Linked DNA regions of Oryzias latipes. The protein of the gene in region 3 purifies or fractionates together with the protein of the main gene of each other region. This does not show direct contact. Links are inferred from orthologs where the notes say so. Each region holds a gene or a part of one and is shown on either strand. Other genes may lie near its edges.

Region 1 (7,919 bases), on a different chromosome or scaffold from region 3:
TCTTGAACATTGAACCTGCTAACTATTGAATGTAAAGTGAGCCTCAGCTGGATGTTGTCTCTAAAGGCTGGAATCTGTATTTTTATTTGGTTTGCATTCAAAGTGTATATGTGAATATATAAAGAGTTTTACAAATTGTGAATTTATAGTTAGAATTCCTAATGATTCCACCTTTTCAACACATTTTGTTTACTCAGTTCACTGTGTAGCTTAAGAAGCACGAAAATAATATTTTTATTCCATTTAAAATCCCAAAGTCCCAAACGTACTTATTTATATATAAAATCTCTTTTTTTTTTTGGCCTGCCGCTGCTGGATTTTCTTTTTCCTCAACCTACTTTTGAATCACTTTCTACAAACACATGCAGCACAAGGGATGATCCTACAAACGACAGCAGGTTGTGCTTTGTTTTTGTAGATCCCCCTCTATTAAGGTTGGCTTTTCCCCAAACGTTGCCGATTGGAAGGGATGCACAGGAAGTGATGACTCTATCCTTGTAAGTCATCGTTGCCCTTCAGGTTTGTTTTCTAAACAGGCCTTTAGAGAAGGGGAGAAGAAAAAAGTGTGCGTGTGTGCACACTGAAGGGTAACTATAATATAGAACTGTCCAAAGTATGTAGAGTCCATTCGCAGGTATTTGGGGTTTTCCTCCTCTGAAAGTGCACTTTTATTTTCAAAATGTCATGTATGTTTTGTTTATATACTGTATCAAAAGAATTGTACATTTTATTTTAAAAGTCTAAGTAATAAAGATTTTGATTGTAGAGGGTTTCTCCTCCTTTGAGCCACTTGCCTCAAAAGGTTTCCAGCTTTGTTAGGATATCAGAAGGCTTATGTAATGAGTAAATAAATACAGGTCGTTTTTCTAATTAGTTTAATGCTCTTAAGTTGAAAGATTAAGTGGTTTAATGAAGCTGAAATAGATATATTGACTGGTTTATTGACCCGAGACTGGCTTGAGATGACATCACATTCATGTTACTGTTTGGCCACTAGATGGTGCTGCCAGAATTTAAATGTATTTTTTATAACACTGTACACATTTTCTTTGAAGAAATAACAGAAAAGCTGAACGATAAATCTGTTTATTTACACAAAATGGGACTGCTGATGTAGGCAGCTGAATTTAAGACAGTAACATCTTCCATTAGCACTCTATCAAATGCCAGGTGGGTACATAGTTCAATATTGTCTTCATGAAAAACCCAAAGTCTAACATGTGAAGCAACTAAAGGTAAAAATATGGGATTTCACCAGAAATGATAGTCCAAAGGGACAGTACTTTAAATGCACATATGACACTGTTGGAATGTATTAATCTCAAATGAGTTTATATTTTTGAAGATTAATCTTCGTGACCAATCATTTCACAATACTCACAGACAACACTGTTTACACAGATCACACAAAGCAAACCCAAAGTAGTGCTTCACATAAAACCCGCCTGTTTGTTCCGGATCGTTTTAAATGTTAACAGTGACCAAAGAGCACCGTTTTGATTGACAATCCTGCATTGTACCACCCTCTTACAAGCTCTGGCATCAGTCACACACATCTGCATATGTAAGCATTACACATGAACACAAGAGAACTATAAATGCCACCTAAAGACATTATTTTGGATAAACAGGCTACTTCAATCAGAGATAAGGTAAAGGGAAGGTGGGCCTGGCCTGAGTTTATGGGGCTTCTAAATTCTAGTGCCGCTAAAGAATTGCTTTGTTTAATGTGGGAATGAGAAGACTGCCGTCACAGTTGCTTCTGACAAATGCCATAAATGAAAAGATAACTGTGGAGAAGAACTCATTTCTGCAGCCTTTGGCTGTAGAAAAGCAAAAAAAAAACTCAAAGAAACTTGAAATGCTGACACGTTGAAATGTAGTGAAAGACGTCTTTTAAAACGATTCAGAAGGTTAGATAAAAAACTGCAGGGAAAAAAAAAAAAACGGCTGATTGGATATCTAAAAGTGGATGTTGTGTAGTCCTCGTCCACATGCCTGTTGTCACTTGGCATGTTGAAAAACTAGAGGATTTGTATATGAAGTGACATTACACATCAAAGTATTTGTATTTATATATATTTTTTGGATGTCCGGTGGGCAAGAAGGACAGAGGATTTTGTTTTTACTCAAGTGACTGAAGCATGAGAAGCTGCTTAAGGACCTTGGTCTGACTGGTCTCCCTGATCTCTCCTGCCAGGAACATCTCGTCCACTACTGTGTACACCTTGGAGGGGAAAAAACATAACAGACAAGGTCAGAAATGAGAAAGAAAAAAAAAAGGAAAAACCAAGAGTTCACGGGAAATTAGGTCACAAACTGAGCAAAATTGCTTCTCTTAAAAAATGCTTCCATTCCAAACTGAAAAACAATCTGTCAGCTTCTTAAAAACAACATTTTTGACATTCAAATGTTCAAAAAAATGTTCAACATAATTGATCCATTAAAGGAATACAGACCAGAATTCATGCTTTGAACATTTTAATGTTATAAATGTATCACTTCACAGCTTGTTAGTATCTTGGCAATAATTTGGAAGAACAAAACAGAAGAATAAGTGAATTAACTAACCATAGCAGAATGTTCTGAACAGGGGAACAAGGGAAGTTTGGAAATGTTCATTTAACTGAATTTTCAATCCAGGGGAGTTCATCCAAGTTTTAAACAGATAAAAAGGAAATTCTGTTGACTTGTCCTTCTGTTTATACTTTCTTGTACGAGGCATTTGTAAAATAAGTCAAAAGCAAATGGACAAATGATGATTTTCAAGTGCTCTTACCTTGTAGAAGTTGAAGACCAGGTCCAGCTCGCACACATTGTGGAAATACTCGTTCAGGACCTTTTAGAACACAAAGGAAACATCCTAAGCTTCATTCAGGAATCGGGAAAGACTCATGAGCAACATTTTGGGTCTCAGCTTGTTGAGAGGACAGCACACAGACTAATGAAGTGTCACTACAGACTGTTAAACTCATGGAAGTGACCGTTCTCCTTCTTCAAGCTTTCCAAAGCAACTGAATTAGCACAACACTGTTAATAACATAAATTACCATCAAATCATTGCCCATTAAATCTATTTGTTTGGAAGTTCACTTGAGGATAATTTATCCATTTGCTGATATTCACGTAATTCATTTTTTTTCTACATGTTGCTCACTTTTTGTTTTTAAAATTCAAAACAGATTACATTGTTGTCACAAGGAGATCCCAAACGATATCGTCTTATTAAATCTAAAATGATGTCTTTGGGTAAACTATAACTTTACCCCATGGAAATGGTATCTGTTAATGAATATTTTACAATTAATATAAATGATCTCAAGATAAATGTTGCATGATAAACTTTTAAGGGGTATGGTCGGGTTAAAACAAAACTTCATTTTTTCAATATATTGATTCATCAAATCTATAAACTGATTTTCTTTTGAAGCAACTTTTTTCAAGGGAAAACAAAACATTTTTTCAGCTATTTTTATTTGTAAAGTTTTAGAACAACCTATCCTTCTGAAAGTGTTAATCAAAATCTTACAAAATTGTTTTTAGGCAGAAATATAACATAAAACTGGTTGGAGGAATGATACATCATCAGTTTTTAGGCAAAACCCAGTCCTAGAAAATGATAAGTAAAAGGGAAAAAAAAAGGTCAGACACACGAAACACATTTGACCAGGATAACAAAATGATCAGAGCACATTATGTGTACTCACCTCCACAAAGTTGTGAATTCCCTCAAGGTATGCCAGGTTGTTATCAGTCACGTCCACACAAATGCAGAAGTAAAGCCCAGCATAACGCCGGTAAATGATCTTAAAGTTCCTGAACTGTGGGAACAAAGTGGAATCAGCCTGTTAATAATAGAGTTTCTCATATTATGACAACAGCAGATTTACTGGGGTATAGGCTCCCAGACTTTGAGGCAAAACACACCATGATAATTTTATGTTTATCATAAAAAAAATAAATGTGGTACAAACATATATATTCATCTTTATATCCATATTTAATAAAGAAATGGGAGGATTTGAAGCGGGATGTTTTTTTGCAGCAGCAGAAACAACTTTATTTGCTTATACAGAAACAGGGGAAAAAAATAAAAAATGAGTTAAAAAATCCCCCTGGGGTTTTTGAATAATTAGAGAAAATCTGTTAGCTGCTCCTCAAAACTACAATTATACAAACTCAAATAGAATTTGAGATGTATTTTCAATCACTTTTAGTTTCATATCAGGTAAAAACTTGCTGATTCAACAAAATGTATTTGCTGTGCGTTTGAATAATTTTGAGCTTGATGATGGAAGCATCTTGAGTCATAATTCTAAGTAATTTGCACGTGTTTGCACCAAATCTACTGAAGCATCGGTGAAGGCTGACAATTTAAGCTATATTTTCTTCTTTGAAAAACAGTCATCTACACTAGTTTTATCAAAGAAATCGAGCTAAACGAACACTGAACCACTGCCTGACAACATGAATAGTAAACTTCTTTACCTCCACGAAGTTGGTGTGTTTGGCATCTCTGACTGTAACCACAGCATGTACTTCCTCGATCAGCTTTTGCTTTTCATCATCATCAAACTGCATGTACCATTTGGCCAACCGGGTTTTTCCTGCCCGGTTCTGGATGAGAATGAACCGGATCTTTGGGATTAAAAAGAAAATAAGTAAGCAAGGCATAGCTATTTTTAAATCAAGAAATCAAGAGAAATGCGTAGCAGACGCCACAAATAAAGTGTAGCAGTTAATTCAATTCCAGAGATTAAAACATCCACAAATTTTCGAGGGCTCCCTCCCTGACTTAGTTAGTTAACGTTCTTGGCTAATCTGACAGCGGCGTTACATTAGCATTTGCCTCCCGACAGAAAACTGCGAACAATTTAATTGCTATAGAATTCATAAAATATGAATAATTTCTAAATAGGTTGTATTCCTTGTTTTGTTTTTTTGTTTTCTGAAGTCTAGCAAAGGCTGTCAAGTGACTCATTGAACGGCATATCGGTACGAATCCCACCAATGCTAGCAATTCAATGTTGAAAGACTATGGGTGGAAAAAACAAAACATGGAGGAAAAAAGGCGACGTTACCATATTCGTCTCCTTAGCAGAACCTTTGGTGACAACAATATCGAGTTCCTGAGTAACAATTTAGTGGTTTTACATTAAAAAGCAGTTATTCGGGCGAGAGCTCGTCGGTTATCTGCACTAGCTAACAGGAAAAAGGAAAGCTTCGTTGATTTGTGGTGCACCATGGGAAATGTGTTTTTAACGGTTGGATAAGAACTCCTGGAATGTACCAGGAAACTACAAACACCAGTGTTCATTTTTTAAGAACTTGTCCAGTTCTCAACAAGTCACATGATTTGCAATGGTTTTTTTATGTATCAGTTTTTCAGTTTTTTTTAACACCTTCTTTCTTTAGCAATGCACACTTTTTTGTGTTAAATATTTACACATTGGCGGGTTTTAGACATGGACATAGCGGTCAATCGACCAAGAGCTCTTGCTGCAAATAAATAAATAAAATAAAATAAAGAAACAAAAAACCAGGTTTTAAAACCGTGTATATTTATTAAAAGGGCAAAGCATTTTTTTTATACATGTCAATCTCTGTTATGGCCTTTTTAACAACCTGTCCAGGATGTACTTTGCCTTCACCCAACAGTAGCTGGGATAGGCTCCAGCAGCCCTGTGACCCTGAAAGCGATACAACTGGTGAAGAAGTAGGATAGAATGATACAATGTTAGGTGCAAATCATGGGGACTTCTAAAATATTTGGAGCTCTCTCCATACCTGTTAGTAGTCAAAAGGATGAGCCAGACAGTTCCTCTTTCATACAGCAGGTGTCTTCAAAATCCCAAATGCCAAAGGGTGTGAATCCAGACTCTTCCAATTTCACTTCCAATTTCATTTCTCCTGAACACAAGTGTGGTGAAAGGAAGGAAACATTTTCTTTTTCCTTTTTTTTGCGGAGGCAGAGGGGGGCGAAAGTCAAGGTAGAACTGCCACAGACACTACAGCAGCCATGGCTACAGACGAAAATAACAAAAGTCTAATTTGTATAGTATTCAATATTGTTTCATAACGAGTTAACTTTGGAATAAAACCCTGGTCTTTTTTATGTATTTGCAATTTAACATATTTTCCTCTTTTATAACTGCAAAGGAGAAATGTGGACTTCCTGATTTAATTTAAATGCTTGGGGAGACTGGGATTATCAGATATTGCACAACTGCAGCAGAAGGAATGTGTTTCCCCAAGGACCCAGCAAAAATTCAGCTGCAAATGTTGAAGAGGTTGAGGTCAGATAGGAAAAAAAACATGTTTATTATAAATAAACTACAATAAAGAGAAGAAAAAAGCCAAAAATCCTTTGTAAAAACTTTTTCTTCTAGTTATTTCTTTCAGCAATGTTTTGGTATATGTGTAAAAAAAACAGCGGAACTCTGTTAATGTTTTGTAAAAAATAAAATATCTTAAATAGCATTGTAATTTATTAGTTCAAGTAGATTGCTTATACTGTGCCTTGTCTGTGTTGAAATAACCGAAAATGGATTTGAAAACAGAAGCAGATCGTTCAACAGAAACTTTGACCCATGTTAATCTTTCTTTGCAGTGGGGTCATGCAAATATTGCTAAAAACATTAAGTGATACGATTGGACAGAAAACCAAATGTGAGCTTTTAACCCAGCTTGAACATGTATTTTTTTGGTGGCATAACTCTCTCAAAATATGTATAAACACTCACTTTATTACAAATTCCCATCCCATGAAAAAACAAGGCAACTCACCCCCTGATAACAGTCATTAAATTTTACATTTGTCTTGTTTTTTCCATTGCAGGGTGGTTAAAATTAAAATAAAGTTTAAGCTTTTACTGTTATTTAAAAAGCAAACTTCAGCTTTAATGTTCTTGTTGTCACAAGTTGAATAGTTTCTCTTCAAACTCAGTCATGTAAAGAATGGTGAGAGGTAAATTCACTGACCTTGTTTTTGCACAACATGACCAATTTGAAAAAGTAACCAAAATATTTTTAATTAATCCTTTTGGATTGAAAATTTTAGTTGGCTTTTAAAGTAGGCCCACTTCATTCCGCTTTCAAATAACAGCCTGCATTTTTGCATCAAATGAAACATTTGTGCTCATCGTACATGTTTAAGTCTGGATTGGGCTGTTGGAAGACGTTGAGGGAGGGGCAGAGTCACAGGGAATTCATTCCGAACAAGGTCCCGCTGCAAAACATTAAACATCTGTTTGAGCTCTTAGCTTGTTGTCTTTACAACAAATCAGACAATTCTTAGTTGTTATACTGTCCTCCTTAGAGACACAACTTAATTATCATTCAGTGGCTGAACTAATCACAATGCAAACATCATCAAATGATTCTCCTAATAGATGACTTTTCAAATCCAATTGAAATGATTCGATTTTACCTTTTTTTTTTTTTTTTTTTAACTTGTCCTGTCCAACAGCTAGGCAAACAGATGAGAGCTGAGGGCCTCTTGTGTTGGACATATTTTATTTTAACAAGAGGGGTTATTCATCTTCAGACAAACCAAAGGTATGTCTGAATAAACCCCTTTTGTAATTGAGGCCAAACTTTATTAATTTCAATCATGTTTGAAAATCTTTGGTGTTGGACCGGACGGAAAAGGAAAGAGGGGAAGAAGAGAGAGGGACGTTAGAGAGAGAGGGGGGTAGGAGGGTGATAATAGGAGGGGAAGGGGGGTAAGACCATGAAGCAGCATAGAGCAGACAGGTTTACTGGTTGTTTATCGTTACGGTACGGTTCAAATGTAGTACAAAAAGGGCGATTTTACCTTTGACGGGACTGTTTTTTTACTTCTTGATTAGACTGATTGGACAAATCAATGTCCAACGTGGTTGTGTTTATTTTTTAACATTTGTGGCCCTGTTTAGTAC
Region 2 (7,307 bases), on a different chromosome or scaffold from region 3:
ACACAAACACCCACCTGAGCACAGGTGTCAGCTCACCTTGCATGAATAGTTAGTGTGAAAGAATGACATGCTTCTACCCAAAGAACTGTAGTTGTGTTGAGTACATGTTTACAAGATTGTATTTTTGGTGCCAACAGGTCTTTTTGACCCTTAAATATGTGTGTGGACAGGTCCCACCCCCCGACTAACATTAACACCAGACAGTAATGATGATGATCCTCCAGCACCCCCCCCACCACCACCATGTAATCATCCTCCTGTTATCCTTAACTCCCCCTCCCCCCTCCCCCGTCCATAACATCCCTCCCTTCTTTCCTCTTCTTCTTTTCTGAACAGTCCAATAAAAAAACAATTATTTCTATGTAATTCATATAAATAATGTTTAGCCTAAATTACAAAGGAGGGTCTGCTGCAGCTGGGCATATAGCTGCAATATCTTTTCGCCAGTACAGTTTTTCCTTCGTTTGTCATGCCAGTTATGTTCTAAAAATAACTCATGGAAGGATTACAGATCATTTAAAAATGTGAAAAGATTTCTAAGCTTTTCCTAGACAGGCATAACAATTTTCACACTTCTCTCTCTTGTTTAAACCCTTTAAAAGTTCAAACCTTCACAGAAAATGAAGTCCAGTGTAATAAATAGAATGAAAACAAAGATCTCATTGTGATCAAAGATTTATCTGGAGAGCTGGATGTATTTGCACAGGAGACAACACGGAAGAGCCTGAAATCAAGCAGCATGCACAATCGCACTAAAAGAATGAGAGAGACTGCAGGAAGTGAACTGCCATGTAGAAATGACAGACTGTCCTCTGTTACAGTAGTAGGTTTTAAGGTTGTCATCTGGAATTTGTCAATTTGAAGTGACAAAGCCTTTTGGATAAGAGGTGAAACGTCTTCAACTTTAAAAACTAAGTCCAGATGACAGCCTTTAAACCTACTACTATGATGGAATCCTCCTGGATGAATGAGAGTCTTCATAGACATTCTGTTCTTTTTGACTGGGGGTTTCAGAGAAGGGCCACAGACTGCAGAGGGAAGGAATACAATGTCGTGTCCTATGCGGGTCTTGATCACTGTGCCAGATTGAAGAAAAGAAAAAAATCCCATTTCTGATTTTGTTTACCAGGCCGGGCCAAATGTGGAGGCGGGCTGCATCTAGTGTTGACATCAGGAGAATGTGGCTTAAGTGTTTAGAGAGGTTCATCAATCTAATCCACATGTACTTTGTGGATTTAAAAAAATCATTTGGTCTTGTGATGTTGTGTGGAAAGTGCTTTGGAGAAATAGGGTCTTGGCCTCATTACTGAGGGCCGTCGGATCTTTGTACAACCAGAGCAGGTTCTTGGTTTGTATAACTGGCAGTAAGTCCAACTTGCCCCCTTTGCCCTGTGAGACCCCAGCCCCGTAACGCAAAGACAAATTATGTTCACCTGATGTTACTTCATTAGCTTAGATGTTTCCCAGCTGAACATTTTTATGTTTGTTTTTCATTGCTCTGTCCACCTCTTCTAAGAGTTGCAAGAACATCCCATTTGAAATACAATCATTTACTGCAGAAAAGTGTCAAAATTAAACATTTGTTTATAAAAGTATTCAAAGTTACAATCTCCAAACTCTTTTACAGTTCTAATTGTATGAACACCAAGAGTTTTTGTACCATGAGAGCGGCAGGGTTTGAGCTCGATCCCCTCCACTATGTTGACCATCAGTCTACCAATTCCTGTAGCTCTCTGAGACCGCACTAAAACAGGAGAAACATATGTTAGTTTGCTCATGAAAGGCATTTGAGTAAGTACATGTGAGCTGGACTGTACCTAGATACGCCTTCTCCCTCTTCTTCTTCTCTGTCTCAATGAAGAGCTCTGAAGCTGCCTTGATCTTCTGAACCCAGGCCGTTCTAAAGGGACACAAACAGTCAGTAAACCTCCACAGCGGGTTTCGTCATCATGATCAGTCCCTACAAAAACAGAGGCCAGAAAGAAAACTCATTTCTTTATTTCCATCTCTTTGTGAGGACTTAGCAGTAGTTCCTCTGTGTCATCATAATGTTTGATGGCATGCAGATGCAGGTTTAAAATAACACATTTCAATTGTTTTTTCACTGCTCATACATTGCACAGCTAAAAGAGCTTTACAATGAAATGAGTAGAAGTCACATCGTTTCTAAATCAAACATAAGAAATACCTAAAAACAGCAAATAGAGCAAAATAACAAGGTTTAACTTCATTTACCAAAAATAACCTAAGGTGCAGGTTTGCACCAACCAGCAGAATTCAGACTCACTGCAGTCCCTGCTGAGCTGGACCTTTCAACCTCCCACATTCTCAAAGGATACGTTTATCCGTCAAGCAGCCTGAGGCAGTGACCTCTAACCTTTTTCACATCAGTTTAATGTCAGACAATATTTTCACGTACCGATCCGAACGGGCCCGAAGAATGCTTTTAATAGTTTTAAGCTTCCATTAAATTAAATCAAATTAAAATGAAACTACAAGAAATTTAGTTTAAAATAAATCTGAAAACAGTTGATTAGTTCACTAATGACAAAAATTCAACGAAACCAAAAATTTGTAAAAGTTGTTTGTGATTTGCAAAAAATTTAAATGAAAAACATAAAATAAAGCAGCATTACAATTTTTTCATAGAACACCATTAGAACACTGAGAACTCAACCCAGTGTCAGATCATCTTTTAGGCCAAAAAGATTGAACTTATTTTGTTTTGACATAAATCCTGATTAACCGTGGGTTTTTTAAACACAGAGGAATTCTTTCTGTCTTAAAGTTTCTTAACAGATGGCTGCCTAATTCACCCTAGCTGTTGGAGAATTCATAAATGTCTGTCACACAATTATAAAACAACTTCCACAAATCAGAAACTTTATTTATTGAATCTTCATTCTCTGTCAAATGTTTGCGGCTGATTTAAACTTAGACTTTGTAATGAATATTCTTCCTTTAACGTCAAAGTGAATGCTAGCAACCAGACGCTAACTTCAGCTTCGACCGACTTTTAAGGTGAGATGGACTTAAAATAAAGCGGTATAAAAGGAACAATCCTAGTAAAACTGATATTTTCTGAATATAATAATAACCATGAATGTAATGTTATTATCTGCGAGTGTGAAACATTCAAGAACCAGTCGCCACATTATAGGCGGCAATTGTCTGAATAAATCCGTATGTCGGGGAAGACTCTGGTTTTGTCTGTAAACAGCAGAGTTATTTTTCTTTAAATTTGAAGGTTTTCTTTGGTTTCCACACCGGCTCTTTTCTACCCAAAGAAACTTTCCAAATACATTTTTTTGTTTGGTTTCATTAGCTTTTTAGCTTTGGGCTACTAACTTGGCAGTCCGAGCAGCTGCTAAAAGTCACGTGACGCGTCAAGACAGACGGATTTGGTGAACAGAATCAGGAAAAAATAAACTAAATGGAAATAATCTAAGTTGGTGTATGTATTTTTGGGGACCATTGGCCAAAGTAACAAATAATTGCCTGAGATCACCGGATGAGGCAGCAACCAAACCCTGATGCTCTGCTGGCACAGGAGTATGTGGAGAGGATGACTTCTGCTTAGGAGCAGAAGTGGAAAAATGGCGACTTAATTTCGCTGAAGCTGGAGGCTGGATGTTTTCCATGGGTCACACCAGCTCCGTCCAGTTCCCTGATGCAGTCAATGGTGCCTGCCCAAAAACCAAAGAAGAGTTGCAGCTTCTAATTGTTGCAGATTCCTCCATGGCTCATGGCTTTGGCCGGACTTCCAACACGGCTTAGTACCTTGATGCTCACCTACAGAAACTTGTTGATCTCAAAAAGGCAGATAAAGTGGTTAAAAAAGTTTTCAGTCCGCCACAAATTGTGTAATTTTTCCCTCATAACCCTTGTGCTATCCAAGGCACTTTAACGTTGGGAGTGGGGTCATCTGGGCATGAAATCCTCTTCACCTTTATCCACCTTTGTCATGGTAGGGATAACACGTCAGTGTAAGGGTGGGGTCATTTTGACCCCACAAGGCAGCACAAGAGTTAAAAAGATGGGCCCTGCATGTTTGCTGGTATTTTAGCCCATTCCTTCATGCATTTCTACTCTAAAGCTGTTGCTGGGCAACACTATTTTCAATTCCCTCCACAGCTTTTCAATGGGATTGAAATCTGGAGACTGGCTAGGCCACTGTAGGACTTTAAAATGCTTCTAATCCACCCTTTTGTTGCCTGGGAGATGTTTGGGATCACCGTCATGCTGGATGATCCAGTCTTGTCTGTTCTTTGATGCCTTTGTTTGATGGAAGGAGGTTTTCACTCAAAATCTCACCATGCATGGCCTCCATTCATTCTTTCCTTTACACTGATCAGTCGTTCTGGTCCCTTTGCAGTAAAACAGCTCCAAAGCACGATGGTTCTACCCCCACGCTTTACAGTAGGTATGGTGTTCTTCGAACTCTCCATTTGTCTCTCCTCCAAACACGACAAGTTGAGTTTTTACCAAAAAGTTCTATTTTCATCTGACCATATCACAGTCTTCCAACCCCCTCTGGATCATCCAGATGCTCTCTAGCAAACCCCAGACAGGCCCGGACGTGTGCTGGCTTGAAGGGGACATGTCTGGAATTGGATTGCCTGTTGTTGTGGTGTTTTACTCATAGTCCCCCTATGTGGTTTGGGGATTTTTACACTCCAATTTTTGTTATAATTTTGACCCTGTGGGGTGCAGTCTTGCGTTGAGCCCCAGAAGGAGGGAGATTATCCGTGATCTTCTATTACAGCTGCAGATTCTTCCCAGCCTGGTGCAGCTCTACAATTTTGAATCTGGTGTGCTTTGACAAATCTTGGCCATAGTGGAGTTTGGAGTGTGAAGAGTGGAGGAGAGAGGAACATTTTAAAGAAGTTACTGGTCTGTGAGAGCTAGAAATCTTGCTTGTTTGTATTAGACCAAATACATCTTGCCCAGATGAATTTACTAGTTATTCCATTTAAAAAAAAGACAATGTGATTTCTAGTACCACATACCCCCTTGTTTTGTCTCTAATGGCTGTCATGTGCCTTTGATGAACATTACAGACCTTACTCATCTTTTTCAGGGGGATTATTTTCACACTTGGTAACGGTTTTGTTCCACTGTATTTGAAGTTGGGTTTGATCAAGTACCTGCTGGTCTCAAAAAGCTGAAATCCCATAGACTCCTATAGAGACATAAAAAGCTATTACTCAGTCATTAAAGATTCCTTAACATGCTCTTCCTAATCATCATTTTTTTCAGGATTTTTCCTAACCATCACTAGTTATTCAATTTATAAACTGACCAATCAGATGCCTCAGTAAATATATCTGGTCTCATGTTGAACAGTCAATGTGTTTGACAGAATCTCCCCAGCATGCTTTCACATGGTAGGGATGTGGACTTCCAACAATCTTACTTCGGGTTGGACAGAGTGGTTTCCATAGAAATGACTTAGACCGACTCAGACTAATCACTGCTTACTGATGATAATAGTTTCCGACATGGTGATGTCCGTATTGAAAAAATGGTGAGTGAACTGACTTAGGTAATTTCCCCTTTGTAGAATCGATAAAGTTTTACTCTATCCTCTTCATTTCATTGGAAGCAAGTCATTTTCTATCGCCCAGTTCAGTTCTCCATGCTTCAGAAGGGTCTTGGTGCACTTGTTTGGAGCAGAGTTTGCATGACTGTTCGTTCACACACCATTGGAAATAGGCCGAGGTTTGTTTTAACCAAAGCAAGCGAAGTAGGTGTTTTTATACCTTCAAACTTCAGCTGGTTCAAAATGTTACACCCACTGACTGCATAACTGGACAACCCACGTGTGACATCACCCTTAGAAAATGCCTTGCTTCTGGCTCCTACCAACTTAAGTCAATTCAGTTGCCATTTTTCAATTCAATTCAATTCAATTTTATTTGTATAGCCCAAATTCACAACAACAGTCGTCTCGATGGGCTTCGTATAGGTAATTGAAAAGGTTCAACATAAACTCAAAAGGATCATGAATACATGAATTCAAGTGGAAAATACTAAATTGAACTAACAAACAGACTAAGCTGAACTGGCATCCCTGCCCTTAGACCCCCCATCCACGATGTCAGTTGCTATGTTGGAACCAGACGTCCTCAGTGAAGCTGTGATTGGTCTAAATTTCTATGGCAACCACTCTCTCTAGTCAGGAGTGATTATATTAGAAGGCCACACCCATTCCACTGAAAGTGGGCTCTGGAGAATTTTTTAATCAAATGCTTCGAATATTCAACGCAAGGCCACCTTCATTTATAGAGGCATCTGATTGGTCAGTTTCTAACTTGAGTAACAGTTAAAATATCATGAGGAAAAAAAGGGTTAGCAAGAAGATGTTAATAAAAGTTTGTAGAGCAAAAATGGTTATTCTGACGAACCTAATGACTGAGTAATTGCCATTTACACTATATTACCAAGAGTCTACTCTCACCCATCCAAATGATCAGTATCAGGTGTCCTGATCTCTTGTTCTGGCCACAGGTGTATCAAATCATCACTCAGTCATCCAGACTGTTTTCACAGACATTGGACGCGTGTCATTGGACGCCACCTGTACCACAGATCCAGTGGTGAAATGTCCTCTCTCCTAAATCTACAGTCAACTGTCAGCTCTATCAGAACAACATGGAAGAGTTTGGGAACAACAGCAACTCAGCCACCAAGTGGTAGACCACAAACTGATGGAGCGGAGTCAGAGGATGCTGAAGCACAAAGAGGTCACCGACTTTCTACACAGTCAATTGCTCCAAACTTCATGTGACCTTCAGATTAGTCCAAGTCCAGCATACAGAGAGATTCATGGAATGGGTTTCCATGACCGAGCAGCTGCATCCAAGCCTCTATTGCTGCCTGATTTAGGAGAATTGAAAATGATTAAGAGATGAAAGCCTTGGCGTTACCTCTCATTGATAGACTCAGCTCTGAGAGTGTAAACTCTGTCAATGTGGGAGATGTGGAACAGAGGCTCGTCTCCTGATGGATCTGTCGGCAGCTTCACCAGAACTTCATTTAGGAAGATTGGCTGAAAAGGAAAAGACTTTTGTCAAGAAAGGCTAATGATTGAGCTTCCTCCTGTGTTGGTTGGTGTGCACTCACTGTCTTGTACATGCGGTACTGCAGGTGAGTTTTGGAGAAGACTTTGTCTGACCCTGATGAGCCCAAAGGTTTGATTACCTGTTAGGACAGAGGCACTTTACTCTATTACAAAGAAAATAGGCTGATTACAGGTGGAACAGTGATTATAGGTGGCCCAGGTCACAGAGGTCAGCCAACCCTTA
Region 3 (7,307 bases):
AAGACTGACTTCATCAGAGCAAAGGCGGTAATCTGCGTCCCACAGTTTTTCACAAACACAACACCTTTAAACAAATGCAAATGGCTCTGCCTTTGCTCTAGGCTCGTAAAAGTCACACATTTGTTAGCCCATTCATGGGATTCTTCTGACAGACATCTGTTACTCCACGATGACGGAATACTCGACAACAGTGAGGAGTGTGGATGGTCTGTATTTGATGGTAGCAGCATCATCCGTCTCTGCTGCATCACCCAGACGTTACATCTTTCTGCTTCGCCCTGTGATGCTCCACCACTCTCTTCCTCTGGCGATGCCACCACTGTCACGGAGCACAAGAACTTAAAACAGATGCTTCAAAAGGAAGAGCATCATGAAAGAGGCTGGTGAGTTTCTTCCATTGTTGAGGCTGTTTCTTTGATTGACAGGTGGATGGATGCAACAAAACCCAACTTTGGCCAAAAGCCCTCTCTCCAGTAAACTTCAGTCATCACGTCTGATTCACTTAAGGCCAATATGAAATCGCTCATGGGGCGCTGTTTACTCATCAGAATTTGCTGCGTGATGTCAAGCATGTGTAGTTATGTATGAACAGCTTACAACAGAGCAGCAGTGAGGATGTGCACGTGTGCAAACTTTCTTTCTTGTCAGCACATGAGAACATAAGCTTGCATATAGAAGCCAAATTCCTTGTATTATGCACGGTTCTCGACCAATAAAGTTGACTCCGTATGCATGAGTGCACGTGTTTGTGAGCACACCTTCTGGTAGTCTGGTAACCAGCCGGCTCGTCCTTCAAAGGGGTCCCTTGGCTTGGACATGTGGCTGAAGTCTGCAAACCCAGTGGAGCTGTTGGTGCTGAAAGAGCCGCTCCCGAATGGATCCAGTGTTTGGAACACGTCTGAAGACAGAAGAAGGTCAGAACTGAAGAACTGAAGGTCACATGGCACAGGTGACAGCACAGCCGTCTTCTGTACTGAACTGACTGGAGGTGGATTCTGGTTTTGTCTCCACTCAGAATTACTCTTACTAACCGTGGCTGCTTATGGTGATAAATTACAGTAGGTGGTGCTGTTTACTCTTTCTGTCAGCAACAATGGTCTGAAAACACAGTCTTTTTTTATTTTATGGTGACATGTTTCATTTGTTCAATTAAATCCATAAGAAATCAGATCACAGTCAATTTTAAATCTGCCTTTTTACAAGCAGCCCCTGAATTCTCTAGCGCCACATTTTTAGCAAACACTCAGGATTACGGGCTGGATAGACACGTTTGTCACCATGTTTTAAGATTAGTTGTCACAATCTAAAAGGTTTTATACTCTCTATTTATTTGGGATTGATGGATCCAAGGAGCTGATGTTTTCTGTCCTGTTTTGCTCACACAGAACAGCCACACAGTTTTCGGGTCCAGGAAAGGTGTGTGCACACCTGTGGGAGCAGGTGTCACAGCCCCAGCGGGGTGTGTGTCTGTCTTGTGCATTTTCTATGCTGTTCATGTTTGCTGGAGGTCTTGGTTGGGATGGAGACAAAGCTCTTCTGGGCAGATTTTCAGGAATCTTAACATTTTTATTCCAACTTTTTTTACTGAGTTTTTAAAACACATCAACAAACAGAGCATATTTTCAAAAGGTAAGTGACAATACAGCTCTGTGTTTCCCCATATCCCTCCCATCCCGGACACAGAACATTCCCATATCCAGGTCATGCGTATACACAATCTTTCACACACATGCACACATACACACAGGACATAATATCTCCCTACACATATACAAGCACACACAGACACACACAAAAAAAGAGAAAAGAATAAGAAAAAAAGGGGGGGGTTATTTGTATGAATATTGAATTGAGATGCTTACATCTGAACGGAGAACAAAACAAAATGATGATTAGACACTGAGAGAAAAAAAAAGGGCAATGATAAAAATTGTGTGCGGGGGGGGGTCAGTCAGTTTCTGCCTCTGGGAGTAATGTTAGTGTATCTGTCAGTAATAAAAACAGATGCCATGTCTCTTTAAACTTACTTAGAGATCCTTTGAGTGAGAACCTCAGCTTTTCAAGTTTCAGTTTATATAGCACCTCCTTCACCCAATAGTCATGTGAGGGGGGGGGGGGGGGGGGGTCAGAGAGCTTCCACCTAAGCAGAATCAATCGTCTGGCCATCAAGGTAGTGAATGCCAGAGCACGTGTACAAGGTCCAGAGAGATTCAAATCAACCGCAAAACCAAAGATAGCGGACACTGGATTAGGCTGCAGCGCTATTCCATATGCCGGGCTGAGCGTTTTAAAAACATGTGTCCAGAAAATTCTTACTTTGGAACAGGCCCAAAACATATAGGAATGGTTGGCTGGCGAGTGTCCACAACGGTTGAACTTATCAGAGACGGACGTGTAAATTCTGGATAGTTTTGCATTTGTGTAATGTCAAATACTTTGCACTGGATCAAGGCATGTCGGGCACAGGTAGAGGACGAATGTATTAACTTTAAGGCTGTGTCCCATTGTTGTTCAGATAAAGTCACCTGTAATTCCTCCTCCCAGGTGGTTTTCATGAAGGAAAAATTGAACTACAGACTATTGTATCATTCCCTCCAGTTAGAACTGGAATACAAAAAATCTGCTGTGGTTCCACCTCCAGTAAGGTATCTAAAAAAGTTTCGGGGGGGGGGGGGTGTTAGGGTAATGAGGGAATTGTTTCTTCACAAAATCTCATGCCTACAGGAAACGGAAAAAATGTGAGTTAGGCAACCTATACCTGGCTGAAAGATTAACAAAGGTTGGGAAGATATTATTGGCATATAGGTCCTTGACTTTGTTAAGTTCTTTGCTATGCCAGGGAATCTTAACAATTTTAAAGCTGAGTACAGCAAACATTTGGGATCTTTTCTCCATAATGTGCAGGAACATCACTCTTCATCCACCATTTTTACGCATTCATCATAACACATCTAAAGATTAGGCTTAAGCCTCAACTCACAGTTTGGGTGTACAGTGTTCCCCGAGTTATTGAGGGGGTTACGTTCTAAAAAACCCCACAATGGTTGAAATCCGCAAAGTAGGATTCCAGATGTTTTAAGGCTGCAAAACTCCTCACTAAAAAAAGTTATGCACTTTTGTCAAACACACCAAACACTTGTTTAAACTCTCAAAGTTCAAACCTTCATGGAAAAATCTGTCCAGTGTCACGGAATAAAAAAAGCAAAGATCTGATGGGAATAGATGTAAATGTGGAAAACTGCATTCTGCCCAGGAGAGACGGCACAGAGATGATTGACAAGGTCAACAGCCAATCCGGATGAAGAACACAATATGTTGTACAAAAAAAGCATGCTAAATCTGAGAAACAGCGAAAGGTGAACGGCGACACAGTGAGGGAACGTTGTGTTTACCGAATTAGAATTTACACTGCCAGAGGGCCGATAATCTTCTCCACGTTATTTATCAAATTTAAAGTTAGGGCGTGATGAACCCTGAGGTTCTCTGACATTTCAACTGTTTGCAGAGTTAGATCAAAAATCCACAGTGGGGCATCTTTTGTGGTTTGTCTGTAGGTCAGCCTGCAGGGTGGGGCAAACCCCCAAAATATGCCACTGTTTTCATGCCCTCAAAGGTTTTTCTAGGTTGTTTTCTTAAGGAAGGAATTGAGATAGTTTCAATTTATAATATATTTCCACAAACCTGATAAATGCTGCTTTATTTTTATATACATACTTATTAGGTAAAATAAAAGTGTGGTTGATGAACAGAACCTACCAGGCCCTCTGGACCTCTGGTGGCCGGAAGAAAACGGGTCGGCGGCTGCGAGCTGAGTGGTTTGCTGCAGGGAACACAAACAAATGGTGGTCAGTGTCACATTTAGTGGGGGGTCATGCAGGCCCACCTGTGCTCGTCTGCCAAGAGTCACGAGAACTCTGCCCGAGTCCGAAAAAACTCTGCAAGCTCTTTTTCAGAACCAGTCCAGTCAGTTTCCTACACGTACCTTGGAGGGTAAGGTGGCACTTTTGCTGAAGGGGTCAGGTGTGGAGAAAGGGTCCACCTTTGTGGTTTTTTTGAAGAAGTCTTCAGATGACGCCTTGAAGGGATCGGGATCTTTAAACGGGTCTCCTCCAAATGGATCTGCAGCAAGAGCAGCTTTGGTTACAGAGGGTTCTGCTCTCAGCTCGGGTCTGTCAGAGGTTGATGTTGTCAGCCTGCTCACAGGAGGACCTCCTCCTGCTGTAGTTACATAAAAATGTCCTAAACTTCTGGACAGAGTGAGGATGAACTACTGGGTTACAAAGCAGATGAACCTTCAATGTGAGTTCACCACCCTCACCAGGTGAGCCTCCTCATACATCAGATGATTAACGCCTCATTTCCACTGCTCTGTTTCTGGCGGGTCTCCTTTGCGTTGCGTGGGAAATCAGTGCTGACGACTATCAAGACTGTTAGTTTACATCGTCTCCATTGCGTCTCCGGTCCGTCCATCCTCTCCCCCTGGCTTTTGGAGGAGTGGTTTGTCCTGTCACCCCTGTATTGAGTGGTTCGTCCCGCTCTCATCACCTGTGGCTGTCCTCACTGAGTCCTTGTAAAATGCATATTTTGTGTCAGAAATGAGGTTGTGTTTCTGTACTTCCAGAATTAAACTTGTCACCCAAGGCGAAACCGGATGATGGTGTGTTATCCACATCTGTTAACGTGTGTTACTGTGTGGGCACCTTCAAGACAAAATCAAATTTGATAGTTTTATTTTGAAAGTACAATGGAAGATTTTATTCTGAAACCCGAACCGGTTTTCTGTTTCTCCGGCTATTTGCTGCAAAATCGACACATCAGCGGCCTGGAAGTAGCACTCCTCCATAAAGCTTGCATTGAGGAGGGACGGACACCAGACGCAGACATGGCGGAGGTGATGTAAACATTGCAATTAACGAATAAACGATCTATTTTGTGTGTTAACATAACGCAACAGAGACGCACCGCAGGCGGACCAGTGGAAATCAGGCTCAACTGTGCTGCAGGACTGACAGGCATCAGATTTGAACCTCACACAGCGCGTTGGCTTCAGGGAAATACCTGCAGATGAGGACGGCTGCTTTGCAAAAGGATCATTTTGAAATGGGTCCCCTAAAAGAGAGGAATGGGGAGGGGGGCAGTCAACAAATAGGTAGCAGAGAGAAGATCAAAGCTATGGGGGAGAAAAGTTGCAGAGCGCAGAGCGGCAACAGGCAGGTGAGAGGAGGGAACAAAAAAAGCCCACAGGACAGCAACAGCAAGACGTGCGAGGGGGTGGGTGACCTTTGAAGGGATCTGTTTTGAAGGGGTCCTCAGAGTGGAAGGGGTCTGGAAGCTCCTGAGTCTGGCTGCTGAATGCAGGCTTCCCTTTGAATGGATCCTCCTGCAGAACAGAAGTGGACCATCAGTGACCTGCTTCCACTCTTTATTCTGGATCAGAACTCCGGCCTAGCCCCCTGACCTGTGGCAGCCTCCCGATGGCTGGGAAGCCCCCGCTATCCCTGTCGCTGAAGGCCTCGCTCATGTCGGCCAGGTTGGTCATGCTGCCTCCATGCGCCCCGTTCAGGCTGCTGCTGTACTGCTCGATGCTCCTCGTCACCTCCTGCTGGCTGTCCTGGATCTGGGCCAGTTTGCTGCGGGCCTGCAGGACACACCTCAGCATTTATTTCACTTTCACTGCAGCGGGGGACCAAGAGAAGAAACCTTCTTTTCAATCCCCATGCCCTTCAACTCACGCAGACTTGATCTAGCAGGAGTGGGACGAGTGCTCAGCACCATCAAAACCTCATCAGGGCAGTTACGCTACAGACACAGCGGGCATGTCGAGAACACACAGAACGATGGTTTTTTGAGTGTGCTTTTAGGATTTGGGGTTCACACAGGTTTGTCGCTGCCTGATGCTAGCACATGTAATCGCAGTTGGAAGAGAATTGGTGTAAAATGTTGAAGCGGTGCAAATTCCATGAATCTTGCTCCAGGATTTTTCCTTCACAGCTCTCTTCTGACACATGAAAGACTTGGTGTCATAGAATTCCGGCAGGGCACAAACCGCAATTACCGTATTAATTTCTCCTCATTGATCAAATTTCTAATGGTTGACACTTCCATGTATTGAAAAGGATGTAATCCTTCCGTCAATACCAAATCCAATGACTACCAATTGATCAAAGTTCAACCATGTTTAATTTTCAACACTTGTGGCGATATGTTTTGTACGTAGAGCCCAAAAACAGTCACAGAAACTTGCGTAGCTACGCCTAAATGTGAGATTTGAACATGGGAGCCCAAAATGCGCATGTGGGCATTTTTACAGAGACTTTTCATTGGAAGCAGTCACTCGAATGTGCATTTCGAGCCCGGTGTTAACATTGCTTTAGGCAGGAAACAGGTAGTCTCTGATGTGCAGTAGCGCTTCCTGCTGACAGCACACTCTCTAAACCTGCGTCTGACCTGGTTGATCTCGTCCTGGGTGGCCTTGAGGGACTTGATGATGGTTTCTAGCTGGATCTTCCCGGCAGCCAAGCTCTGCTCCAGCTGGTTCTCCTCTTGCTGCAGGCGGTTCAGGTCGGTCTTGGCCCGGCTCAGCTCCTCCTCCTGGGACAGCAGGTCTGACTCCTGGCAGTGGATCTGGCTCTGCAGGGTGGAGATCTGCAGGACACAGATAGGTGTGAGGGTGGTGTCCACACAGAACTGCTGTCCTGACTAAACAGAAGTTCAGACGTGAGCCCAGCTCACGTCTGAACCTCTTTTTGCAGAAAACCTCTTCTACCTTTAGGTTCTCAGACCAATCAGACCCATTAGCTGAGACAGCTGAGCTGTCTTCTTTGTGGGGAGGATAAGGAAAAACAATCTGAAAACTCCATGTGTTTCCAGATTCCAAGGGCTAAGACACATTTTCTTTAAAAAATAAAAGCGTTTATTTTTAGAGCAAAAACAGCTTAGAACTCTTTACCACTAATTTTAATGGAAAAACATTGTGCAAGCAAGCACACACGTCCACCCCCCCCCCCCTTTTATATATAAAATAACGGGTGTAGGAATACCAACAGCTGTTTTGTTTTTTCCCAGTGATCCACACGGACCCGGTGCTCAATTGCTCTCAAACTGGCAAAAACTGAGTTGTCAATGTCTGCATCTTCTGCAGCAATGATCAAGCTGAGCATTTCAAAAACGACTCAAAACAGCGTCTGCCGACAGACTGTCTCCATTTGATCAGCTAATGTCAGCAAAGCCGTGCGGATGTCGCTGAAATAGATCTTCTTTGTAGCACGCCACAGAGCGGGACTCTAGGAATACGAGTCGATTTCTAG
Region 4 (7,307 bases), on a different chromosome or scaffold from region 3:
ATTCAAAATTTTAAAGATTTCTTTTACTGTGACGGGAAGGTAAAGCAATAAAACTCATTATTTTTAGGGGGAGTTTGAAGATTGTGTTGAATTTGTAACAAATATGCCTCCCTTTATTCCGTTGCCATGACAACAGTATTGTAAAACAAAGTTGTGCACACACCGCATTTTAGATAATTTAGAATCAAGCTTGCTTTTTTTCTTCACCAAGGTAAGTTAACATTTTCCATGGTGACTTCTATTGTACAGTGAGTCTATCTATGGTACTGAACCTGCAATCTTCTGATCAGAGGTTGACCGCTCTACCTCTGCACCACAGCTGGCCCAAAATCTCTGGTATATTTTTAGATTGATATGAAGAATTATTTTTGTTACATTTTTATTACCTGTGGAGCAAGTCCTTCATAATTTATGGTAGATTTTAAGAAACAGTTTGCAGTATAATATCATTTATTTAATTATATTCTTTATATTACTGTAACTACAGTCTTCTTCACCACCAAGGAATAACAGGCAGTGTGAGGATATTGTGTTCATGACTTTTGATTTTTGTCTGTTGCGGTTAACTTCTTTATCATGCACAATGGTTTATCACATGGTTCCATATTAGCTTAATACTGACTTAAGATTTAGCGAACAGATGAAAATGCATGGAAACAGTTGAAATAAAAGCACCAAATTTAAGTTGTATTGTTTTTTTTTCCATTTAAGTGTTTGGAATTAAAGTTGCAGCCTTTTCTTTAAATCTGGTATTTTTATTTCATTTAAAATGTTGCTATTGATTCATTTTGAAATGCATGTGTGTATATTTTTCTTTTGCTCCAGTAACTAATGACAAACATGAAACTATGCATCTAACATTTGTCCAAAAAAAAGTTAGTCTCTTGTCAGTTTCCCTGTGGGGATGAGTTCTATTCCCATTCTTAAGTGACGTGTTTCAGGACTCCCCGACGATTGACCCCCAAAAGAACAGACACAGTTTGTCTTATTTAAGTTTAAAAAAAGAAAGTTTAAGACCAGAAAACACAAAAGCATCTTTTTTTTAGTATGTGCCATTAAAACAGCAATTAAAAACATCCAGTTCCTGACCAGAGCATTGCCTCAAACAGAACTAGTTCTGTCCCAGCTCCCTCAGTCAGATACAGGTATTACACTCGCATTTATTTAGGAAACAAAGTTAATTTATTTCATTATTTTTTTATTTGTTATGAAACCTTGTGGTTACACCACAAAGTCAATGTGCAAAGTTTACAGACATTCCGACACATTTTCCTTCATTAGCTGTATAGCAAAATCTTTACATCTCTTCCTTTTTCACACACATCTCAAGCTTTAAAGTAAAAGAAATCCAGTGATGAAGTGGAACATTTTAGCAGTCTTCTTAGCATAATATCTGGCCTGAGGTCCAAAAAAAAAAAAAAAAAAAAAAAATTCGAATTCAAAAATCCCTAAAATTTTTATGTCATATTGTGCAAGAGATTGCATAGGCACGTCTTACATTTTTATTTCATAAAAGATTTGCACAGTGATAGCAGTTTGCATAAACAAGCAACATAAAATCTTTAGGTACTCTGATGTACTAAAGCCTAAAATGTCATCAAAAGGTCCAACAGTGTTAAAAAGACAACATGATGCTAACGCCACCATGCTTTAAGGTCTGAAATGTAGTTTTTTGAGTTCATCTGACGATTCCCTGCGTCTGAAACAGTGACTGATGTGCTTATAGATGTTGGACTGCCATTGTTTTGAACTAAGATTGGTGTGAACAGCAACGTTGCTCATCTGCTTGGCTCGTAAAGCTGCAGGTCAAGTTTGACCCACACTTCTCCTGTGGGGACTTCGTGCAGCAGCAGGCGGCGGTTTGCTGCTCCTTTGGTCTCCATGTCTTTCTTTATGGTTGCCACGGGAACCTCAGTGCGACCTAGAAAATCTGAAAAGGAAAGGTTTTTAATTCCACAGTGATACTAATATGAATAAATTCTCAGAATAAAAACTGCTTAAAAATATTAAATAACTTAATTAAAGCATTTTGGGACCAGTGTTGATGCCTGGATTTTGTTTATAAATATATATATATATATATATAAAGCATTAAATACTGTGTTTGTGTGGCACGAACCGTCTGGAGAGAACTGATCTTTTTCAAACACAGTGATACACAGGACATCCTGGTAGAGGTCGTTGATGAAAAACTGGCAGCTGAAGTTCCACTTTGGGTTCGGGGTATCACTGGCCGGACGGGATGTGTAGCACTGAGCCCCCATCGTCAGCTCACAGTAGGGATTACTCTTGCCTGAGGAAAAGAAGAATGTTTTTTTGCTATTGTCCAAAAAAAGCTAAATTAGTTAATTATCTAAAAAAGACAAAGGTGTGTTTTCTCACCATTTGGTTTACAAGCTTTGAGCTCCTGAGCTTCAATGATGGTGACCAGCAGTCGACCGATTCCACTCGTCTTCAGGGAGCGGGCTGCAGATAAACAGAGGTTTGAAACCCACTGAAAACTTCAAAATATGCCAAATTTAAATATATTTGGGAGTGTTCAAATGTTCTTTCAGTCAAATTATATTAAAAAAAAGACATTTTATAAAACACAGTATTTTACAAGCAACTTCAAATATATTTAAAAATTGCAGGTTTAGAAATAGAAAGGGCATTTAAAAAATAACTAAATAAAACTCCCATTAAAAAAAGTATGTGCAACCCTTTAAAGTGTTTTTTCAGGTAAACTTTGCAACTTTACCCCTTCTTCCTAATGGAGTTGAGTATTTGTGGAAAGTTTGGGCTCACCTTGGTATGCTTTCTCTCTCTTTTTCTTTTCTGTCTCTATAAAATGTTCAGATGCTGCTTTTATTTTCTGCACCCACGTTGCCCTGCAGAAAAAGATCAAAAGAAAAACCCCTTTTACAGGTTGCAGCAACCCGGGGATAGTGCATCTGTGCGTGTGTGCATACCTCTCACTCAGAGTTTCGGTTTTGAGCGTGTAGACGCGATCGATGTGCGAGACGTGGAAGACCGGCTCGTCGCTGGATGGATCCGGAGGCATTTTCACTAGAACTTCGTTCAGAAACAATGGCTGAAGAGAAAAAAAAGCTCGTTCTTAAAGAAATACTGAAACTTTTGCACTAAGAACTCTCTCAGTCCCTCTGAGCATATACAGCGGGGAAAATAAGTATTGAACACATCAACAAACAAAAAACATATTTCTAATCGAGCTATTGACATGAAATTTTCACCAGATGTCGGCATCAACCCAAGTAATGCACACATAGAAAGAAATCCAAACATTTATGTGCATGAATGAAGTTATGTGTAATAAAGTGAAATGGCACAGGGAATAAGTATTGAACACGCTTACTGAAATTTATTTAATACTTAATGCAAAAACCTTTGTTGGTGATTACAGCCTCAAGACGCCTCCTGTATGGAGAAACCAGTCGAATACATTGCTCAGGTGTGATTTTGGCCCATTCATCCACACAAACTGCCTTCAAATCTTCAAGGTTCCGGGGGTCTCTTCTGTGAACCCGGATCTTCAGTTCTTTCCAAAGATTTTCAATTGGATTCAAGTCTGGTGATTGACTGGGCCACTCTAGCAGCTTTATTTTCTTTTTCTTCAACCAGTTGAGTGTTACCTTGGCTGTGTGCTTGGGATCGTTGTCTTGCTGAAAGATCCACCCTCTTTTCATCTTCAGCAGATGACAGCAGATTCTGATCAAGAATGTCTCGATACTTTTCTCCAGTCATTATTCCTTCAATGATATGAAGTCGACCAGTATCACATGCTGAAAAACAGCCCCACGCCATGATGCTCCCACCTCCAAACTTGACTGTTGGTATGGTGTTTTGGGGGTGATGTGCGGTGCCATTTTTCCTCCAAACATGTGTCTTATGACATCCGAAGAGTTCAATTTTGGTCTCATCTGACCAGAGTATCTTCTTCCAGAATGTCATGGGTTTATCCAAATGTTGTGTCGCAAACTCCAAACGAGCTTCAACATGCTTCTTCTTCAAAAATGGAGTCTTGCGTGGTGTGCGTGCATGGAGGCCATGGCGGTTGAGTGCATTACTTATTGTTTTCTTTGAAACAACGGTACCTGCTGATTCCAGGTCTTTCTGAAGCTCTCCACGAGTGGTCCTGGGCTGTTGGAGAACCCTTCTGATGATTGTTCTGACTCTTCTGTCTGAAATCTTGCGAGGAGCACCTGGCCGTGGCAGGTTTATGGTAATGCCGTGTTCTTTCCACTTCCGGATGATGGCCCCAATGGTACTCACTGGAACTTTCAGAAGTTTAGAAATGCGCCTGTAACCAATGCCTTCAGTGTGTTTTGCAACAATAAGGTTGCGTAGGTATTTGGACAGCTCTTTGCTTTTACCCATCATGCAATGCTTCTTGTCCAACACCTTGCTGGTGAGAAACCTTTTTAAAAGGCATCAATCAGGACTATACCAGCTGATATTACTTTGCACTAATATGGGGCAGGTTGACCTTTTGAATACGGACAAACTCCAGCTGCTTTCTTGGCTTGCCAGACCTTTTTACCCCTCCTTTTCTTCATGTGTTCAATACTTATTCCCTGTGCCATTTCACTTTATTACACATAACTTCATTTATGGACATAAATGTTTGGATTTCTTTCAATGTGTGCATTACTTGGGTTGATGCCGACATCTGGTTAAAATTTCGTCTCAATAGCTCGATTAGAAATATGTTTTTTGAGAGAAATGTTGACGTGTTCAATACTTATTTTCCCCACTGTATGTCTGTGACCATACCGTTTTGTACATCTTGAGCTGAGCACTGGTTTTGGGGCTGAACAATTTGTCCGATCCCGAGAAAGAGAAATGTTTGGTACTGTGGGTGAGGAGGAGGAAGTCGTTGAAGAGGAAAGCCCAAAGCTCTCGGGTGCCTTTTGTTTTGTAAAGTCGACCGCTGTGGAGCAGCTTGCGTGGCCCCAGGCAGTTAGTTAAAGAGTTAAAGACCAAATTCTGGAAGAAAGATTTTGACAAAATATTACTCGACTGAGGTTTAAGCTGAAATAGCTGATTTGCATCTGACATCTCAGGGTTGGTCTACCTCAATAGGCCCTTCACACTGGATGTGGCTCTGCATCCACTCCAGTCGGTCCGAGTTCTCCTTCTCTCTGACCCCCTCGTTCACCTGAAAGCACAGCTCCTCAGCCCGCTCCAGAGCTTCCCGCAGGGGTCCGTGGTCTGCGTGGCTTTCTGGGGTGTTCTCCAAGATCTGACCCAAATTTAAAGGCAGTTGGCAAAGAGACGCAGCCCAATGAATAGAAAGGCATTCTAAATAACGATGAGATATCTGACCTGTTTTGCTTACATTTTTTATCAGCAGAGGGTAGCGAGTGATTCGTTGCATGGGCTTGAGGAGGAAGCTGGACAGTGGCATTCCTTTGCAGCGGTAGTTAGTGGCTATCTTCTGCTCAGAGGACAGAAAATTAGATTTATAACTTTGCATAGAAACATTTCTATGTGAGGATGAAGTTGGCCCATACGACTCTCACTCGTAGGAAGTCTTTGAAGTCAGGCTGGTTGTTGGTTTTGCTTTGAAGCAGTGCAGCAGCATTGAGTTGGCCGGAGCAGAAGCAGATGTAAGGATGCATCTGCGCGAGCTCCGACGCCAGCACGTCTCCTATCAGCTGAATGGGCATGTTCTCCCCTCCGGTCTTTTTGCGTGCCCGCAAGGCTCTGATGTTCAAAAGTAAGCAATCACAAGCAGGAAAATTTATTACATAAATCCCTTTGTATTGATTTATCTTGAATGCATAGGAAAATTGTGATTTTTGGGACGATGGGGCTTAATGATCTAAAATAATTTGCAGGGAAGATGGGAACTTAATGATAGTTGTTAAATTGCCTGAATTTATGTTTACTTTCTGAGACCAGAGGTCAGCAAATATGAAACAATAATGAAGTGCAACCACTTTATTTTCAATATTTTAGCAGAAAAAGATCAATTGATAGAAATGCTGTACTTATTAAATTATGGCCTCCCCCCTGTAATCCTTCCACTAGTTTAAATGTAAATATAAAAAATTTATTTGTGTAATATTTCAGACTTAAATTCAAAAAGTGAAAGACCTTAAACACAGAAAAAAGTTTAAAGATTAAATTTAAGTGTCAATTTTTAACATTACTGATAATTATATTTTAAACCTATAAAAACAACAGTGAAAAAATACATTTTTATTGATATCAAGTTGTACTTTAATGCACCTATGTCTGCAACTTATTTCCAGTTAGACCGTTATTGTTAAAAAAAACAAAAGGGTATTTTGAAAATATTTGACCTACTTGAGAAATTTATGGTTGCACATAATAAGCTTCCTCCAGTTAACAAAGATGGTGGCCATCTCTGCTTCCGTCAAGCGCCCAGACTCAGACATGGGCTTGTGGAACACCTGAGCGTGCAGAAACGGGTCACGTCAGAGCTTCATGCGCCAGAAAAATGGGAATCACCAAAAAGCAACGATTGGTTTGCACCTCCAAAACCAGTTCCAGATCCTCCACGTAGGTTTCCTCTGTCTGAATGAGCTCATGAATGTAACCCTGCCGCTTCCTCTCTTGAGGGGTCATGGTGTCCAGAGTCATCAGGTCTGCACACCCTGTGGTTCACACATGTAGGCATGCAGCATGTGTGCAAGGCAAATATGACCAAAACAGTTGCTGTTTTTAAATAATTACACTAAAAAACACTCCCATTTGTTTGAAAAACTCATTTTATTATCAGTTCTGTGATGTTTATTTACACAGTGAGGCACATTGTCGTTGCAGTGCATGGACCATGCGGTGCCAGCTACAATGCTAGCAAGGATGTCGCATTAAAGAAACAAAAAGCACCGTTCATGTTGGAGCGCCCCTCCAAATGATTGCATAGGTGTTAAATAAATCTGATGACAGACAGAAAAAGCTGTTGAAGACGCAGCTGGTGGTTCCAGTTCTGTGGTTTAGAACGCGGCTAATATAAAAGTTTGTAGCACATAGCATTTCCCCCCTGGAGTCTACTATTTATGTCTGCTTTTATTTTTCCTTTTTTGTGCTGGTGATATATCACACATCAGTACAGGGTGGATCTAAACGTCAACTACTTGCAGGCATTATTTAAAGGACAAGTGCATCAAAAATGAGGCATAAAATCACAATCAAATGAAATAAGCAGCCGAGTCTTTACATTGGTCCATTTTTAGCAAGGCGTTATGTTGTTAGTGCAAAAATGATTCACCCATCTAAATGAGTACTATCATTCTAATTTACAGCCTTTATAGAAAACTAAATGACTTCAATTCACA

The links.
Region 1: the proteins of epidermal growth factor receptor substrate 15-like 1 (region 3) and ap2s1 purify together in Homo sapiens (affinity purification with mass spectrometry; 4 studies listed by BioGRID and IntAct, counting the BioPlex papers as one, with this or other methods). This does not show direct contact. The link is inferred for Oryzias latipes from reciprocal best matches to the Homo sapiens genes EPS15L1 and AP2S1.
Region 2: the proteins of epidermal growth factor receptor substrate 15-like 1 (region 3) and itsn1 purify together in Homo sapiens (affinity purification with mass spectrometry; 4 studies listed by BioGRID and IntAct, with this or other methods). This does not show direct contact. The link is inferred for Oryzias latipes from reciprocal best matches to the Homo sapiens genes EPS15L1 and ITSN1.
Region 4: the proteins of epidermal growth factor receptor substrate 15-like 1 (region 3) and intersectin-2 purify together in Homo sapiens (affinity purification with mass spectrometry; 5 studies listed by BioGRID and IntAct, with this or other methods). This does not show direct contact. The link is inferred for Oryzias latipes from reciprocal best matches to the Homo sapiens genes EPS15L1 and ITSN2.

What each region holds. Positions count from the first base shown.
Region 1 is NC_019871.2:14,619,218-14,627,136, forward strand, and holds ap2s1 (AP-2 complex subunit sigma), read right to left. Parts: upstream 5,237-7,919; 5' UTR 5,085-5,236; coding exon 5,082-5,084; intron 4,639-5,081; coding exon 4,489-4,638; intron 3,822-4,488; coding exon 3,708-3,821; intron 2,840-3,707; coding exon 2,780-2,839; intron 2,228-2,779; coding exon 2,126-2,227; 3' UTR 1,069-2,125; downstream 1-1,068. UniProt on the Homo sapiens protein: Component of the adaptor protein complex 2 (AP-2). Adaptor protein complexes function in protein transport via transport vesicles in different membrane traffic pathways.
Region 2 is NC_019873.2:637,874-645,180, reverse strand, and holds part of itsn1 (intersectin-1), read right to left. Parts: intron 7,204-7,307; coding exon 7,126-7,203; intron 7,052-7,125; coding exon 6,930-7,051; intron 1,901-6,929; coding exon 1,818-1,900; intron 1,745-1,817; coding exon 1,661-1,744; intron 1-1,660. UniProt on the Homo sapiens protein: Adapter protein that provides a link between the endocytic membrane traffic and the actin assembly machinery. Acts as a guanine nucleotide exchange factor (GEF) for CDC42, and thereby stimulates actin nucleation mediated by WASL and the ARP2/3 complex.
Region 3 is NC_019862.2:5,470,885-5,478,191, reverse strand, and holds part of epidermal growth factor receptor substrate 15-like 1, read right to left. Parts: intron 6,646-7,307; coding exon 6,448-6,645; intron 5,639-6,447; coding exon 5,459-5,638; intron 5,381-5,458; coding exon 5,281-5,380; intron 5,110-5,280; coding exon 5,059-5,109; intron 4,120-5,058; coding exon 3,983-4,119; intron 3,821-3,982; coding exon 3,757-3,820; intron 899-3,756; coding exon 759-898; intron 320-758; exon of another isoform or gene 1-319.
Region 4 is NC_019882.2:14,805,274-14,812,580, reverse strand, and holds the end of intersectin-2, read right to left. Parts: intron 6,624-7,307; coding exon 6,502-6,623; intron 6,420-6,501; coding exon 6,313-6,419; intron 5,707-6,312; coding exon 5,523-5,706; intron 5,438-5,522; coding exon 5,339-5,437; intron 5,243-5,338; coding exon 5,075-5,242; intron 4,987-5,074; coding exon 4,774-4,986; intron 3,074-4,773; coding exon 2,952-3,073; intron 2,871-2,951; coding exon 2,788-2,870; intron 2,467-2,787; coding exon 2,383-2,466; intron 2,294-2,382; coding exon 2,120-2,293; intron 1,931-2,119; coding exon 1,779-1,930; 3' UTR 1,178-1,778; downstream 1-1,177.